4 linked regions of the Nothobranchius furzeri genome follow. The protein of the gene in region 1 interacts with the protein of each later gene in a biochemical or structural test. Links are inferred from orthologs where the notes say so. Each region holds a gene or a part of one and is shown on either strand. Other genes may lie near its edges.

Region 1 (3,787 bases):
GGGAGTTCAAAGTCCGTGTTGCTCGGCGACAGCCCCAAAACATCACAGCTCTCGAGAAGATCTGCATGGAGGAATGGTCCAAAATACCAGCTACTGTGTGTGCAAACCTGGTAAAGACCTATAGTAATCGTTTGACCTCTGTTACTGCCAACAAAGGTTATGTTAAAAAGTATTGAGTTGAATTTTTGTTATTGACCAAATACTTATTTTCCACCCTGATTTACAAATAAATTCTTTAAAAATCCTGCCATGTGAATTCATGGATTTTTTTTCACATTCTGTCTCTCACAGTTGAAGTGTACCTATGATGTAAATTACTGACCTCTGTCATCATTTTAAGTGGGAGAACTTGCACAATCGGTGGCTGACTAAATACTTTTATGCCCCACTGTAATAAGATTATTAACGGTGCCTGATGGGGTTCTGCTGTGTGGAGGAGTTGTTACTGCTAACGGTTAGCTTCTACTGGCCGAGACGTTCTCTACTGTTTCCTGGACGCTAAAACAACAACAGCCTTCCCCGTTGTGGGTCAAGATGGGTGAGTCCACGAATGTTAAGTGACAGTGTGATGTAGATATGTCAGGATTTTCAAATCCTAGCTTCACCGTCTATTTCCAGAAGTAATTGCAGGAGATAGGTGTAGGAGACTATTTTCATGTTTGCACAAAAAGCTCAGAGTGATCGATTATAATCAGATATAATCCTTAAATAACGGGTTTTCATTGAAGTGCCACTTTACAACAAGAAACCAATAATAAAACCCAAATCTGAAAAGAAAATCCTTTTTTCTTTTTACCTCCAGAGATGCACCGTCGGGTCATTTCCCAAAGAATTAAACCAAAGCTGTACATGTCGGCCATTATGAAGGACTGGAAGGTGCTTCTGTTCAGTGTCTCATCCAACACTTCAGGTGGCATGTAGCGTTTAGTACCAACTCGTAGATTAGGAGGGATATCCACTTTGTTGGTGTCACTGAGACAGAACATAAATACACTTCATGCATATTTTGCCAGTTATGCTCCTGCAGTTTTAAAGGAGAGTGTTTTACCTGTTAAACTTGACGGCGAGTCCCATATCTGCAATACAACAGAATCCATTCTTTTTAACCAGGATGTTTTTGCTCTTCAGGTCTCGGTGGGCGATGGCGGGTTTACCCTGTGTGCCGTAGATCTCCGTGTGCAGGTGACAGAGCCCAGAAATGGACGAGTACGCTAGTTTCAGCAGAGCTTTTATGTCTAAGGTGTTGGACTTGAGGTGGTCATATAAGGATCCGTTCTCATGATAGTCTGTGATCAGGTAGAGCTGAGTCCACGAGCCAGTTCCTTTAATATCAGCTGCTATGAAGCCTGGAGATGACACAAAACAGATGAAAAAACGTTAATTATTCCTGAAAGTCCCATAAGGACAGAATCCTGGAACGGTTGGGAATGCTAACCACCTTACCCAGGATGTTGTCGTGCCTCATCAGAAACGTCTGATAAATTTCTGTCTCTCTGAACCAGCTCTCCTCCTCGGTAGTGAAGAAGACTTTGACGGCCACTCTCTCTTCTCTCCATTTGCCCATCCAGACTTCTCCGTATCGCCCTTTCCCGATCTGCTTAACCATCTGAATCTGCTTGGCAATGGTGCGCTGAACCTGGTAAAACATTGATTACAAAAAAAATTAGTCCCAATGTTAACTTCTTAATTCCCTAAAAAGGATTTTAGAAATTTCCATCTCAAGTGGTCTGGAGAAAAAGACATGCATGTTTTTTTGTTTTTACCAGCAGAGGGAGTCCTGACCCAGACCCAGATCCAATGCTGCGGGAATGCTCAATCAGGTCCTTTAGTGAGTCCCCTGGAGGAATGAAGGTCTCATCCTGCTCAAGATCAATGCTGTAGGGGGGTTGTGACGTCTGACGTTTATATCTGACACAGAAAGGTGAGGAAGGGATTATTTCATGAGCACCACGTGAATATTTATTGATGAGTGATGTGAAGGAGACACTGTTCATACCTGAAGTAGCAGAAGACAAGAATGACAGCAAGGACGCTGCAAGCTGTGAGTGAGATAAAGAGAGCTATGTACTGGATGTTGCTGTCCACATATTCTGAAAGAAAGAAGAAAGGATGGCATGAATGTGACTTCATATAAAAATACACACACACTTGTCCTGGTGTCAGTAGAAGACGGGATTAATAATCTCCTCCTCTTCGATTCCCCTAGTTCTGACCCAAAACCCCTGCTTTCACAGCGCGTTATTGATCGCATCCCGTTCCTGGATCCCACAGATCAGGTGTCACGGTGACATCGCTGCAGAATCCCCAGAGGCCTGCAGCACCTCTGGTGCTCTAGCTTTTCTGCCTCGGCCACGTCAGTCAGACACACACGGACTCAGGCGGCTGAAGATGGATCATAAGAGGACCGTGGAAAACACGGAAAAACGTCTTCGATAAATCCAAACTACCGGTTGTAAGCAAGTTAATAAATGGCGCCTTCTGCTGTTGGGTTGTTCTTGCAGACATTGTTTATGGTAAAGCTGACAACAGCCAGAGTTTTTAGTTCTACTGAGACAAAAACAACAAAACTGATCCCATTTTGGTGATTAAGTTTGTAAAATAACTGATGGAAAAGATGGCTAGATCAGCGATTTGGCTAATCAGGCTTTCAAAATTCACATAAACATGAAAATTAAAGTTTTATGTTTGCATCTTAGTCTGGGTAACAGAACGAGAAAGTGTGTGTGCATGCGTGTGTGTGTGTGTGTTGGTTTGTTGTGGAGTGACAGATGGACATATTTCTCGCATCCATCCTGAGACAAGAAACTCAAGCAGGCCCTGGGGAGAGGCTGTCCTTTTCATTATGGAGTGAGAAAACAAGCCAAGTCTGCAAGTCTCCGTTTGACCTGCCTCCCTCTCTTTGCTCCTCCTGAGCAGCAGGAGGAGGCTGCACCACTCTGCGGTTTGTAACCATTTAAAATGCCACTAAACCATCACTGGCCCAGCGTGGCCGGGACGAGCCCACTTTAAAAACCACTTGGATTTGAATGTGTGTGAGAACCAGTGTGAACAAAACTACCTGAAGTCACGAGTGGAGGAAGCGTGGGATGCAGGCTTCTGTTGCAGTAGTCCCGATCCGTGCAACACTCCATAACGATCCGCAAGCGTGCGTTCAGCATGTCCTTTCAAACAAACATAAAAACCAGGAAACTCTTTTATAAATGTCACTGATGAAGACATCGGAGTAATACGTATTTATTGCAGCTGTAAAACTCTTCAGTAAGGCTTTAACACCATGTGGGGACAAGGTAGTCAGGAGAAGTCAGTTTTAAACGAGGCTAATAAAGAGCCAAAGTGAGTCAAGGGCAGGTCTGAAGAACTCCACATGAAGGAGGAGACATGAGACGAGTACCGGCAGTCATCAAGGCATAAATGTGCACATAAGACAGACTTACTCTGCACTGGAACTCTGAGCCGACCAGAGGTAAACATCCTGCAGAAAAAACAGCGTGACCTCCCTCCTTCTCCGTAACCATGGTGAAGCAGAAACCCCGGGTCCTACCAAAACGCACAAAAATACTGTATGAATCATTATGTCTCAAGCACATCTGACCCGATAAATGCTTAGGACAAAACAAAAAACTGTTTTTGTAGCTAAACCAACTCTAAATGTACTTGAATAAAAACTTTGGTTTCATTTTTAAATATAATTAAATGTTCATCTGGTAGAAATAGATACGGGCGATTTGTTAGAGTAAATTTTTATCTGTGAACAAGTTTAAATTAAGGCTCTAACTAGATCAGCATT
Region 2 (3,803 bases), on another chromosome or scaffold:
CAATATACGTTAAATGTTTCATTGCCATCTGAAGTGTAATACTTGGATATTTGTGTGCAGAGGAATCAAATAGTGAATGTTGCTCAACTGAGTCCCTCTGTGAGAAAACCAAAGGCAGATTGACAACAATGTGTTTACCGGCGATGTTAGCCATTCGGAGTGTCACTTGGCTCTTTGCCCCTTTGGATTGGCTGGGGTTTCGTTGTTTGGATCCTCCCAACGCAGAGCGGATGCTTCGCAGGTGCACCTCCGTTGCTTTGAAGAAGGCCACCATGAAGGGCTGTTTATTCTGAGGTCCACTGCGACCAATCAGCCCTGCCACACGAAGACTGATACTCTCTCCTGAAGGGTGGGGGAGAGAAAACACAACAGGTCAGAGGAATAAAGCATCAAGAGGGCAGAGAAGGGCAACAAAAATCACTTTTCCCAACTTAACTTTTAAAAATGAGCTTTATTTTAGTAAATCCTCATCCTTTTCCCCCTTCACCCTTTCTCCTTCATCATGTCTGGTGACAGGCTGTCCCTTAAGCTTGTCTGAACATGCTACTCCATAAAGCTCCAAACCTACAATCACACACTGACAAACATCCACAACGTAGCCTGAAAGCAGCATCTGTTTCCCTCACCAACATGTAACATCCTGCCATCCTGTGAAACACGCTTGTACTGCCTGGTGTTTTGCTGATAAAGTTGATCACCAACAAACGTTTGTGCCTTTTGAGATAGTGCAGCGTATTTACTGCATACCTGCTAAATGATGCTGAGGGTAGGTCAGATGAGGATAGTGGTGGTGAGAAACAGGGTTTGGTGTTTCTCATCAGAGAACAAATTACCTGATTTCATTGGTTTCATAGCAGCTCGGTTGCAGACTCGAGTGTTTTAATGCCAGCTCTCGTGTTTTTTTTTTACTGCTCTGTGGGAAATGCAGCATTTGGGTTTGTTTAGATTCTAATCCAGATGGAACAGTTTAGAAATACTTATTCCAAACACATTTTACGATGTACTTTGTGGTCATTACTTTGATTGAATTATATTCATAGTTCTGTCCAAACATGCAGAATCCAGCAGCGCTTGTGTTGTTTTAGGTGTTTACAAGAACATTTGAATAACAATATAATAACAAATGCAGGTTTATTGTGCTTTAGGTCAGGAGGATTTCATGGGAAGGAAATGTGAAGAGGTCTTCGCCTTGATTTATTTTATTTGTTTCATATTTTATACTGACTGGCAACTATTATTAACTGGATGCATGTGCATTATTGTTTTATAAATAAAATTATGCCTAGAGATACATGGGGTAAGTCACAGCGGGTGTTATTATTATTTTTTCCCCTCTCTCTTAGTTTGTTATGGTTTATCGACGTTGCCTTCTTATTCTTTACTTGTTGTATGGTAGGAGGACCTGCTCGAAAACGAGATGCCACATCTCAAGCAGTTTATCCTCCTGGGAAGAAAAATATAAGTAAAATAAATAAAAATAAATAAATAAAATTACTATTTAGATAAATGTTTCTTTTATGATTTCTGACATGTATATATATATATATATATATATATATATATATATATATATATATATATATATATATATACATTTTTTGTCCTATTTTAGGGTTTTCTCCTTTATATGTGTGTTGTATTTTATTGCAGAATAAGTCTTAGCCTGTTTCTGGTTGCATAAATGAAGACAAATAAACATGAGTATACTGCAAATTAATTCAACATCATTAAGCATAACACAAAATCTAAAATGTGTGTGTGTGTGTGTGTGTGTGTGTGTGTGTGTGTGTGTGTGTGTGTGTGTGTGTGTGTGTGTGTGTGTGTGTGTGTGTGTGTGTGTGTGTGTTTTGTGACATGAGGGAATTTACTGGCAAGAATGCCCCCTTACCATTTGTGCTCTCCAGAGCCAGCTGCAGACCCAGGTTTCTGCCAGGGTTCAGGACCCAATGATTACTGGTCGCTGTCACGTCGAACACCAACCAGCCCTCCTCTGCTGCCCAGATAACTCTGGAGTCCAGCAGAAAGAGGTCTGACTCCCTGCAGGGAAAACATATTCCTAGTTAGAACATGCATGCAACAAAAAAGCCAGTTATCGAGACTGGAGCACAGAGCCATAGACAGGAGGGAGAGAGAACCAGAGGAGTGTGACGAAGTGAAACAAAGAGAGTGATGAGAGGCAAGTAGGGAGGGCACCAGATGGTGAGGCCCAGGGGAGCACTTCATTTTCTTAATTGACAATAATAGCTTTATAAACGAGCGGTCCTTTCATATGCTGCACACAGTCCATCACTCACTGGAATTCTGAGGGCGAACCAGAAAGACAAAATGAGAGCTGTGTTTTCTCACAGCTGTGAGAAAACAAAAGAAAACTGTGTGGAAATGAGTGAGGAAATAGTGCATATCCAAGTGAACTTTGGGTTTTCTAATCTCTCACAGTTTCAAACTAAAATCCCTTGTTCTTTATGCAGCCGTTCGTGTATCCCGACCCATTTTCTGACTGAGCAGATAGTGTGTCACAGAGCCCTGGTCCATTCATGTCCCCGGCATGTCCCCGGCAGAGGAATAAATGATTGTGTTGTTCCCCGCAGACAACTGAACCTTAAGGACAGACCGGGGACTTGGTTTCTATCTGAGTCATGCACCTTGTGGTCCAGATGAACCACAAGGATTTAAATGCTGATTTTCAAACATCTGCAGGTAAATGATGTTCCTCCTTGATTAGTTTTGTCTGATCTGGAAGAAAACGCCAAATGATCAAAACTTCTAAATTACACATGTGTACTGAAATCTGGATTTTGACAGCATGAAGCTAAAAGTTCAGTTTATTCCGACCTCTGAAGAAGCCTGGTTGTTTTATAATTGTTCCAGCAGTTCTGCAAGAGTCAAAGAAGTGTATTTTAAAAAATAGCTCCATGGTTTTTCTGTCAGTTAATATAAAGCTGTTTAGTTTTATTTCATCCTTTTTTCATCATTTCTCTGATGACGTTTCCTCAGACACAGCAAAGTCAAAGAAAGTCATCAGATCGAAACATCATTAGAGTCACTTCATTCTGAGTGGAAAAATTCTTTGTTCATCGGGAGTAATTTCACTTTAATCCAAAGTCCTCATCACCAAAACCTGCTGGTCTTGATTGAAGTCATTTAATCAGGTAAAATGGTTACTGTTCCTCACCTGTCGCTGTGCTCCTCCAGCACCTGGTAGATGCTGATGCGAAAAGTCTCGTTGTCATAGCGCTCATGGATGAAGTCCTTATAGATGCGAAACTCGGCGGCAGTAACCGCCTCGCCCTCTGGGATCCGTGACAGATCGAATCTAAACTCTCGATGATGCCGCCGCACTGGCAGGAACTCCTTATCGTGCTCCACTGGAAAAAAAATAATAAGAACATAGAATTAATTCTACGTGAACAGCTTTCCCGCCATCTTAAAGAGGGCAGCACATAGATCTGCGTGAGTTCATAGAGAGTTTAAAAGCTTTTTTGTGGTATTGAGTTGCAACCTCCAGGGAAAAAAAACACATGTTTGTAAAGTTGGTGGATACGTGTTTTCCTCCTTCATTTTTGTATTGATTCTTCCCCGTAGGCTGCACAACATAGGTTGAGGGACCTGATGCAGCTTGTCAAGCTCTGACCCCTGACCCTGATTAGACACGTCTGTAGATATAAAGTACACATGTTGGCTTTTGGTAGAAACATTCATAGTAGCATTCAAAGCAATGCATCTGGCACACACTGAGTCATGATAAAGAGATGCAGGCAGACTGTGACAGCTTTATGAGCCCATTTCTTCCCTCTTTCTTCCTT
Region 3 (4,239 bases), on another chromosome or scaffold:
CAAATCCCCCTCTTTCCCCTCCGTCCTTTTAGAGATCCTCTTCTCTTGTCTTCTCTGTCACCGTTTTCTCAGTTCCTTTCTGCAACTGTTCTCGATCTCGGTCTGGAACTGCTGTGTGAACAAGTTTATGCTTGTCAAAAGCACGCGAACCACAGATTTCCACAGCTTTATTTTTGTGCCACTCGCCAAAACAAAAGATAGATGCTAATATTGGATCGGCCATCTCTGGCAGCTGCGTCCTGTGCTACGGTGGAAAGGCTCTATTTGACTCGAGTTATTCCTGAAAACCAATTGTCCGAGCGAAAGGAGCATGGCGTGGCAGACGTGACGAAGGCTTGGAGCTGTTTGCTTTGATGTGCTGCATTAACATCTGTAGATCCGTGCTTATTACAGGGGGAACAATCCCTCGACGCGATACGGGAAGCCTAATAACCGCGCGGCTGTTAGCATAGGACGAAAAGAGCCAGGAGAAGACGTGTAAATGTCAACGTGTGTTGGCTGAGTGCAGAGGTTTCCAGCGGTGAGCTGGGAGCAGTCACTCAACCCTGCTGCTCAGGGTTGTTTGTAGTGTGTCAGTGTAGCCACTTGGTGTCATTGCACTAGGCCTTTGGAGAGCACCCAAGCAACCACTCAACCACCCCTCTGACTCACCCCTGATGGAAAGAAACTTCTCCACTCAAACACAGGACTCTGTATGAGGACTCTGCGCAGGGCCCCAATGGACCCAGCAACGTGGGTCACATTAAGATAAATAGATGTGCAAATCTACTATACCGGGAATAAGATGTTTATTATACAAAAACGTAAACATCGAGTGCTCCTGCTTTTAAAGCTGTTATAAACAAAGCATCATTTACTTTGTTAAAATACTGTTTAAATCCACATTTTAACAGCTGATCCAGAGTCTGCAAAACGTTTATTTTCATCCGAGAGGTGAATGAGTCATGTTTAAATATAGGTTTTTAAATTCAACTGAACTGAGACTTGTAGTTCAACTATCGCTGTCTTCTCCAAACTGGTTCACGCGTAATGATGCACAACTGGAAGCAACAGGAAGAAGGGAAGCCACGCCTCCTCTACGGCGTTACCAAGAGCTAATTTGAGTCTTGTTAAAGGTGACTCAGTCTGACACGGTGACTTCGTCATCGTGTGTGTTGCTCTGATGTCGGTTGTTTTTTGAAGTTGCAGGGTGACGTCTATCACCTGCGCACAGGCGCACCGCCCTTTATGCTGCTCCCGTGGTGCGTGTCTGGAAAAACAGTTTTCAGAATCCCACGCAAACACCATCAATTATTAAGAAACTAATGACCCCGGGGATACCGCCGCCCCTGATGTTTCTGAAGCCTGTGACAGCTGTGCTGGAGGGATGTTTGTCTAAATGTTGCACTGCTGCTTAGGTGAGAAAAGTCAACTTTGATGTGATTTTTGTGCATCAATCTTTAAGTTAAAGCATTTTTTAAGGTTGCAAATACCTTCGGAGCATGTCATCTGTAAATGACTAAACCTTCAGAAAACAGGGAAGACTCTGAAGTTCAGTGTTGACGATCTGAGTCATGTTTAAATATAGGTTTGCGCTGTCTGAGAGAGACATGTAAAGGTATGTCACTAATATATACCTTCATGGTGAAAGCTTCTAATCGTGTTGGCCTTGCTGGCGGCTCTCTCTGCGTGCTTCCCCATGCTCTTGGGCCGCTTAGTGCTGTGGTCTCCGTTCGCAGAGTGCATCCGGTAAAGGTCCACCATGTACTGGGGCACCACGGCTTGTTTGCTGGGGGTCGGCCTGCGTCTCAGCCCGAACATGTTGAGAAGCCGCAGCTCGAACTCGTTGAGGAAGCTCTCCGACTGCTCAGGGGTCTGTTTCCCGGATTCGCTGTACTTCCTCCGGCCTACCTCGGGGATGAGTCCCGCAGCACCTTCCAGCAGCACCTGAGCGAGCATCAGTACCATGAGAGAGCGGACCACGGCGACCATGATCAGTCAGTCCCTGTGGAGAAAGTTGGTTTCTGTCAATACACTGGCAGGCAATGTGGTATTGACGTGAGGTGGTCCCAGCTAGGCTCTCGCGGCAGCAGTTCCCAAATCCCCCCTCAGAGCGTAAAACTGAAGGGGAGCAGGTTAAAAAGGGGGAGACACCTCTTCACTTTGAAGTGCAGAAGAAAAAGAAAGAAAGAAAGAAAGAAAGAAAGAAAGAAAGAAAGAAAGAAAGAAAGAAAGAAAAACCCAGAGGCTAAACTGCTCCTCTAGTTTGGGTTGAACATGAACCCTAACATGAAATATCAAGGTGAAAAACTAATGACAGAGGTGGATTAAACAGACAAATCAAAGGATTTGAAGGGAAACGCTGCAGACAAAAGGTCTCCAGCGAGAAGAGATAAGAGATCTTGTTGCAGATATGAAAGTCCATGCAGAGAGAAGGATCAAAGGAAGAACACGCATCAGTTCCAGTCCCACTGCGCGCTGTTTGCATGTAATCATAAAGGATAGTTACTTCAAGAGGCTTGCAGGTGTTAGATCTGACGTGTGCCCCACAGCCAGGCATCAGAAACACAGACGGAGTCAAACAACTTCCACACAGACAACTTTTACCTCTATTTTCATTTTCTGTTTCTCCGTGGCTCAACAGGCGGAGGCTTTACGCACGAATTTATTATTAGAAACAAATGAGCTGTCACTTGTGAAGTGACCTTTCTGTGTTCAGTCCAAGTGCGGATTCAGGTTAAAACCTCCACATCGATGGTTATTCTTTATTCTAGCGATTTACCTGACGAGAACGCGCGGTGTCCGGTCGTCGTTCCACCTTTAAGCTCCGATAAATTCCACATTAATTCGTGTTTAATCCACGCTGCTTCTGCTTGGGGGACCGAAAACAGCCCGCGCCCTCCGCCGATCGCTTCTCGCACATATTCTCACCAGCTGCGCGTCGGGTTCGGGTCTTGCTCAGTCCGGAGAGGAAAGAAAAAAAGTAGAAAAATTAAGTCTACGAGGAAGCGGCTGCGCGCAGGCATAGCCGAACTAAGTGCGAGGAAGCTTGTCTGGACATTTTTAAAATTAGAAAAAAGAAAAGCTGAAAGTGGAGAAACGTGGAGCGTCGCGCGATGTTCGTGGAGAGATGAGCGCAGTGAAGTTGGTGCTCGGAGAGGGAGAGCTCTCCGGAGCGGGTCTATTGATTGGTGCCTTCTCTTTCCCCTGCGACGCTTTTTGTCCTACAGTGATGTCACTGGGCTGTCAGTCATCTGTCCAAACCGCACCACTTCCTGTGCGTAACTCCCGCAGGAGAAAAATCCCTCATTTCTAACTTCACAATGGAAAACTGTTTAAACTTTATTCCTCTCCCCTTCAGCAAACATCTACAAATGTGATTTGGATTAAAATCTGTAACAGGACCACCAAGAACAGGTGGAAGAGCTGGCAGGAGTTTATGAGCTGAGTTTATTACTACAATTTTTAACCAAGTATTTCCCCTCAGAATGTGTACTCAGCATATTTGAAGAAAAAAAAGTACTTTTTGTTTGCTTCTTTTGACAAACAAGTACTTTTGTTTGTTTGTTTTGCCAAAATAGATTCAGTGCATTTGAGATTCAAAAGGTTGCCAATGATCAAAATGCAAAATGTAGTGAGAAAAATGAACTATGTGGGACATTTGCAGTTATTAACAGTTTTTTCCTTTTAGCAAACACAACACGTTATTAAGGAATTACTTAAATCAACCAAATAGAAAGAATAAACAGGCTTCATCATATAATTTTACATTAACCCTTTGATGCATAATGGTCACTATACAGTGGACAGGTATTCAAAATTGTTATTTGTTTATTTTACAGCTGTTGAAGACTTTATTGCAATTGAGCTCCTTCATTTGGACTTCAGTAAGTCAAGCCAACATATTTCGTGTTCAGAATGCACGCTGTCCCCTGAGATGGACATGTAATAAATTATTTGTAAATTAACAAAATACTACAAATAATATTTGCTGAAATTTGTTTCATTCACACCTACAGATGAATGAAAAAAAAGTTTAAAAAATCATGGTTGAAGATTTCATAATTCATGCATCAAAGGGTTAATTTGTAATAAATATGACGAAACCAATTCCTTTCAACCTCTTAATTTCCTGTTATATGAACAAAATATCATTTTTTATCACTTTTAAAGGACAGTTGTGTTAATTAACTATCAAGTTTCTAAATGATCAAACTTGAGGTTTGTTGCCACGGATAAGAAAAAAAATCAATTCATTTG
Region 4 (4,304 bases), on another chromosome or scaffold:
GAGATCTAGGACTCGAGGGCGAGTCCTTCAGGACAAAGAAGGGGAGAGTGTGATGGGCAGAAGACGGAAGCTGCCGGGCTCTGAGGGTGTGGTGATTGGACACCAGCTGGTCCTCGTTATGGATAACGAGGCCAGGGAGGATAAAAAGGTGACAGGTCTGCTGAGAGGGGTGCGTGGTCGACCTGTCATTGTGGCATCGGACTTTGGGGGGAGGGGTCGTTCGCAGCCGGGTAGGGCTGCCGGCGACGAAGATAGCTGAACAGGTGTTTAGTGTTCCAGCGCCAGGAGGGAAGGCTGGTCGCCTTCTTTAGACAGTTAGGGCTGGGCATAGGTGATGCCAAGGCCGCGCCGACATCTGCCGCTACGGACTCTGGCAGTGGACTTATGTTGTGGATTTACCCGCCGTCCTCGCAAGCTACACCCCGGGGCGTTGGACGGCGTTGGAAGCTCAGACCCCGGGGACGGGGGTCACACCATCCGTGACAGCTAAGTACCGCTGCTTACGTGACTCATGCTGGACAGTTGGTTTTACAAGAGAGGGCTTGGGCCATGGTGTTTTATCGTTGTGTTTTATTATTGGTTGTGCAATAAAGTGTGTCTTTTATAAGTCGTTGCCTACTGGTGGTGTGTTCAGGTTCTGACCGGAGGGCAAGATATTCTGCCCGTGCTGCCCACGGCTACTTTTATTACAATAGCATTGGTTTTGTCCTCATTTAGATGAAGGTAATTAGAGGAAAAACAGGTTTTAATTACAGAGGAACGATCCTGAACACAGACTGCAGGAGAGCTTGGGCTGACATAGTAGTAGTCAGTCATCTGCATACATGTGTAGCCTAGTGAACTAGCCCAGAACTAGTCTAGTGAACTAGACCAAACTTTGGTCTAGGAACGCTCCACTAGAACCTCTGCAGCCCCTAGCAGCATTCTGGCTGGCCAATCACAGCTCTCTAGAGGGGTTTCAAACTGATAGAGCGCTGTGATTGGTCCACAATGGTGGGCCGGTCACAGTGACCTATCTGCTTTGTGGACCAATCACGGACCTCTGTTTGTCTGGTGGGCGGGATGATGCAAGAGTGGAAAAAAATGGCGACCGCTCATTTTAAATGGGTTTTACATTAATTCTGGACTATTGGGACTTGGGCTTTATTGAACCAGGAGCAGATACACGTTTTTAAGTTGTTTATTTAGAAAAAGGATGTATTTTTACCTTCTACAACCTCGTTTATCGACATCCGTTGTGGTGAGTATGCCACGTTGTTCATTGTCCAGTAGCGTGCGGGAGATCGTTTGAAAGGCAACTGTAGAGCCCGAGAGCCATCGATGGAGTGTTGCCGGACTTAATAATATATTATTTAGTCGGGCTTGCCAGGCATTAAATGTGATAGTTTACTAAGTTTTTTTAGAATGATGCCTGGAGGAAGTATGTAGATCGAGAAAAGCTAAGGACCCAAAACTGAACCCTGGGGGACCCTAGAGGTCGAGAAGAACAGTTTTCAATGCAAACACTAAAATATCTTTTATTCCAGTATGAGCTAAACCAATCACAGGCCTTCCCTTCAGATCCTGTTCTTTCTCCTACTGATCCTAGATCTGTGGAGGTCTACAGAGCCCTCCTTCACCAAATCTTCACTCAGAACTAAATGGTTGGTTTTAAGTAAGGTTTGTGTGTGAGCAGCAGCAGTGATGTTTCCCTACAACTGAAACATGACCGACAGAACATTCTGCTGCTTCCAAACCATCTGATCCCAGAACTGGATCCAAATCCTAGGAAAGTTATTCAGTTTTTCATTTCTTTCTTTCTTTCTTTCTTTCTTTCTTTCTTTCTTTCTTTCTTTCTTTCTGTTCCTTTGAAAGCCTATAGTCTTCGTTATAGAGGACAGAGACAGTTACCTTGTCCCTTGTCCACAAAGCTGGTGATGGTGTTGGCCAGAGCCGCGCTGCTGTTCACGTCTCCGCTGCTCAGTGACCAGTACAGAGACAGCATGTAGTCGTGAGGGGTCACCACCGGCTGCCTGGCGCCTGGTTTCGGTGACTTGATGCTGACGCCCCGCTCCACAGCCGCGCTCTGTTTTTGCTCATACCCGCTGCGCGCAGCGGCGGCTGCTGCGCCCGCCCTGGAAGCGGCTTTCCCCGGTGAGCCACCTCCTCCAAACGTCTCAGTTCCTTTCCTGGCAGCATTTGCGTTAACAGCTGCGGGCGCGTGCGCTTCAACACGTGCCTTAGCGGCGGGACGCCAGGAGCACACAGCCTCTCTGCACGCGGATCTTTGCGCTCCGTCCTGCTGCGGCTGGTCCAGCCTCCCCGGTGCAGCGGAGATCCCCGCTGGTTTCTGACTGGCAAAATTCGTCTCACCTGTGGTCGGCAGCGCACTCACGCGCACACGAGGAGCTGGTTTCCAAGAGCCAGCGGTTCCTCCCGTTCGCTCCAAGGTGGTTCTGGTTCTGCTGAGCGAACCGCGGACGGGATGCAGGAAGACTATCGTCCAGCTGAGCAGAAGGGGAAGATTCTTCACTCTCATCCTAAATCTCTGCAGCCTTTTGGCACATCGTCTATAAATCTCTTCAGAACGATCTGACCCGCTGAGCCGACACCAGGAGCGCGGGAAGTTCAGTGACCTTTCTCATCCTCAGACCCGTGAGGTCCAAAATGCGCGTCTCGCTCCCAAACGCTAGAGAAACGGGGTCTGACTCTCACAGGGTTAAAAGAGTCATTTGGTCAGGGTCAGGTGTCAGAACCATACTGCTGATGGTGGACAGGTGAGACTCTGAGACCTGGACCCGTCTTCTGCTCTCCAGCGAACTGTTCTGCTTGGTACCATGTAACAACTTCTTTAAATCCCACTTCTTTTTTCCATGTGAGGAGAGTATGGCGTAATGCGGTTGCCTCCGTTTTTTCTCTTTCCCTCCAAAGCTTGAACTCTGTCCAGTGAAAATATTTCACTCACACACAACAACCCGCAGGTGCTCCAGAATCCTGCAGCAGACCTGAGCAGGAATTCCAGAGAGCGGCTTTAATTACGCCGTGATGTCATTCTGTCCCAACTCATTTAACAGTGATAATTCAGCCCACATCTTCCTCCCTCTTTTACACACACACACACACACACACACACACACACACACACACACACACACACACACACACACACACACACACACACACACAAATTATGATAAATGATAAATGACCCACTTTTGTATAGCGCCCGCCAGAGTAAGGACTCCAAAGCGCTTTACAGTGTATCATTCTTCCATTCACACACTGATGGTGATGAGCTACGATGTAGCCACAGCTGCTCTGGGGCACACTGACAGAGTTGAGGCTGCCGAGCACTGGTCCCTCCGACCACCGCCAGCAGGCAAGCTGGGTTAAGTGTCTTGCCCAAGGACACAACAGCAGAATTCTCTGTCCGGAGCCGGGATCGAACCTGCAACCTTCCGACTACTGGAAAACCCGCTCAACCTGTTGAGCTACTGCTGCCCCACACACACACACACACACACACACACACACACACACACACATCTGTGTGGCTCTGAAGAGCTGCAGCAGCTGGATGTTTCCTATTCTAAGGCCAGATGAAGGAGACTGAGGCTCCAGTTACTTTATAAAACACAATGAGATGAAGCCCTGAAGGTGAGTCCCAAGCTGGAGAACACGTAGACATCTGTTGAGGTTTGATCTGAAGACCCCAAAACTCAGATTAAAATTAGGACTAATCATTAGCTTGAGTGAAGCCTCTGATAATTCAGTAGAGAAAAGCAACCCTCACATCTGACCTCCTTCCTCAGATGATTATATGGAAAAAGATGCATTAAACCTTTCATAAAGTCATGAGTCTACAGATTAGAGAGAAGTTTAGATTCTTGTTTTTTAAATATTTTAACATGTCATGGCTGACCAAATGGGCTCCATTCATTCACCATTAGTCATGCTTAACTTTTGCTGCAGGTTTTGCACCAAAGAGCCAAAAGACTCTTTCCTGTTTCAAGTTGCTGTTGGTGCCAAACCCTCACTAAGTCACATCACAGGAAGGTAAAGTGGCAGGTTGATGAAACAAACCATGACTTTGACTCAGAAATGTTTTCATCTGCATGGAGTTCAGAGCGGAAATAAAACTCTGATGAGGTAGGATGAAGAAACAAAACAGGACTTCTTCTCCTGTTCCTTTAAGATGTTCTTCAGCTCTGATCCTGGGTCAGGAGTTCAGGACTTAAACCTCATCCAAGAACCTTAAACAGTAATCAGAACCATGAAAGTCAGGTGACCTATTTGGTCGTCACACACACACACACACACACACA

The links.
Region 2: the proteins of bmpr1bb (region 1) and bmp7b form a complex in vitro, tested with the Homo sapiens proteins (2 studies listed by BioGRID). The link is inferred for Nothobranchius furzeri from reciprocal best matches to the Homo sapiens genes BMPR1B and BMP7.
Region 3: the proteins of bmpr1bb (region 1) and bmp2b form a complex in vitro, tested with the Homo sapiens proteins (3 studies listed by BioGRID and IntAct, with this or other methods). The link is inferred for Nothobranchius furzeri from reciprocal best matches to the Homo sapiens genes BMPR1B and BMP2.
Region 4: the proteins of bmpr1bb (region 1) and gdf5 interact in a biophysical measurement, tested with the Homo sapiens proteins (3 studies listed by BioGRID and IntAct, with this or other methods). The link is inferred for Nothobranchius furzeri from reciprocal best matches to the Homo sapiens genes BMPR1B and GDF5.

What each region holds. Positions count from the first base shown.
Region 1 is NC_091746.1:52,903,768-52,907,554, reverse strand, and holds part of bmpr1bb (bone morphogenetic protein receptor, type IBb), read right to left. Parts: intron 3,538-3,787; coding exon 3,435-3,537; intron 3,162-3,434; coding exon 3,059-3,161; intron 2,091-3,058; coding exon 1,997-2,090; intron 1,909-1,996; coding exon 1,764-1,908; intron 1,637-1,763; coding exon 1,444-1,636; intron 1,347-1,443; coding exon 1,049-1,346; intron 973-1,048; coding exon 797-972; intron 1-796. UniProt on the Homo sapiens protein: On ligand binding, forms a receptor complex consisting of two type II and two type I transmembrane serine/threonine kinases.
Region 2 is NC_091755.1:56,417,727-56,421,529, forward strand, and holds part of bmp7b (bone morphogenetic protein 7b), read right to left. Parts: intron 3,366-3,803; coding exon 3,173-3,365; intron 2,038-3,172; coding exon 1,889-2,037; intron 343-1,888; coding exon 139-342; intron 1-138. UniProt on the Homo sapiens protein: Growth factor of the TGF-beta superfamily that plays important role in various biological processes, including embryogenesis, hematopoiesis, neurogenesis and skeletal morphogenesis.
Region 3 is NC_091742.1:22,692,982-22,697,220, forward strand, and holds the start of bmp2b (bone morphogenetic protein 2b), read right to left. Parts: upstream 2,940-4,239; 5' UTR 2,762-2,939; intron 1,985-2,761; 5' UTR 1,972-1,984; coding exon 1,617-1,971; intron 1-1,616. UniProt on the Homo sapiens protein: Growth factor of the TGF-beta superfamily that plays essential roles in many developmental processes, including cardiogenesis, neurogenesis, and osteogenesis. Induces cartilage and bone formation.
Region 4 is NC_091743.1:78,134,541-78,138,844, forward strand, and holds the start of gdf5 (growth/differentiation factor 5), read right to left. Parts: upstream 3,063-4,304; 5' UTR 2,519-3,062; coding exon 1,891-2,518; intron 1-1,890. UniProt on the Homo sapiens protein: Growth factor involved in bone and cartilage formation. During cartilage development regulates differentiation of chondrogenic tissue through two pathways.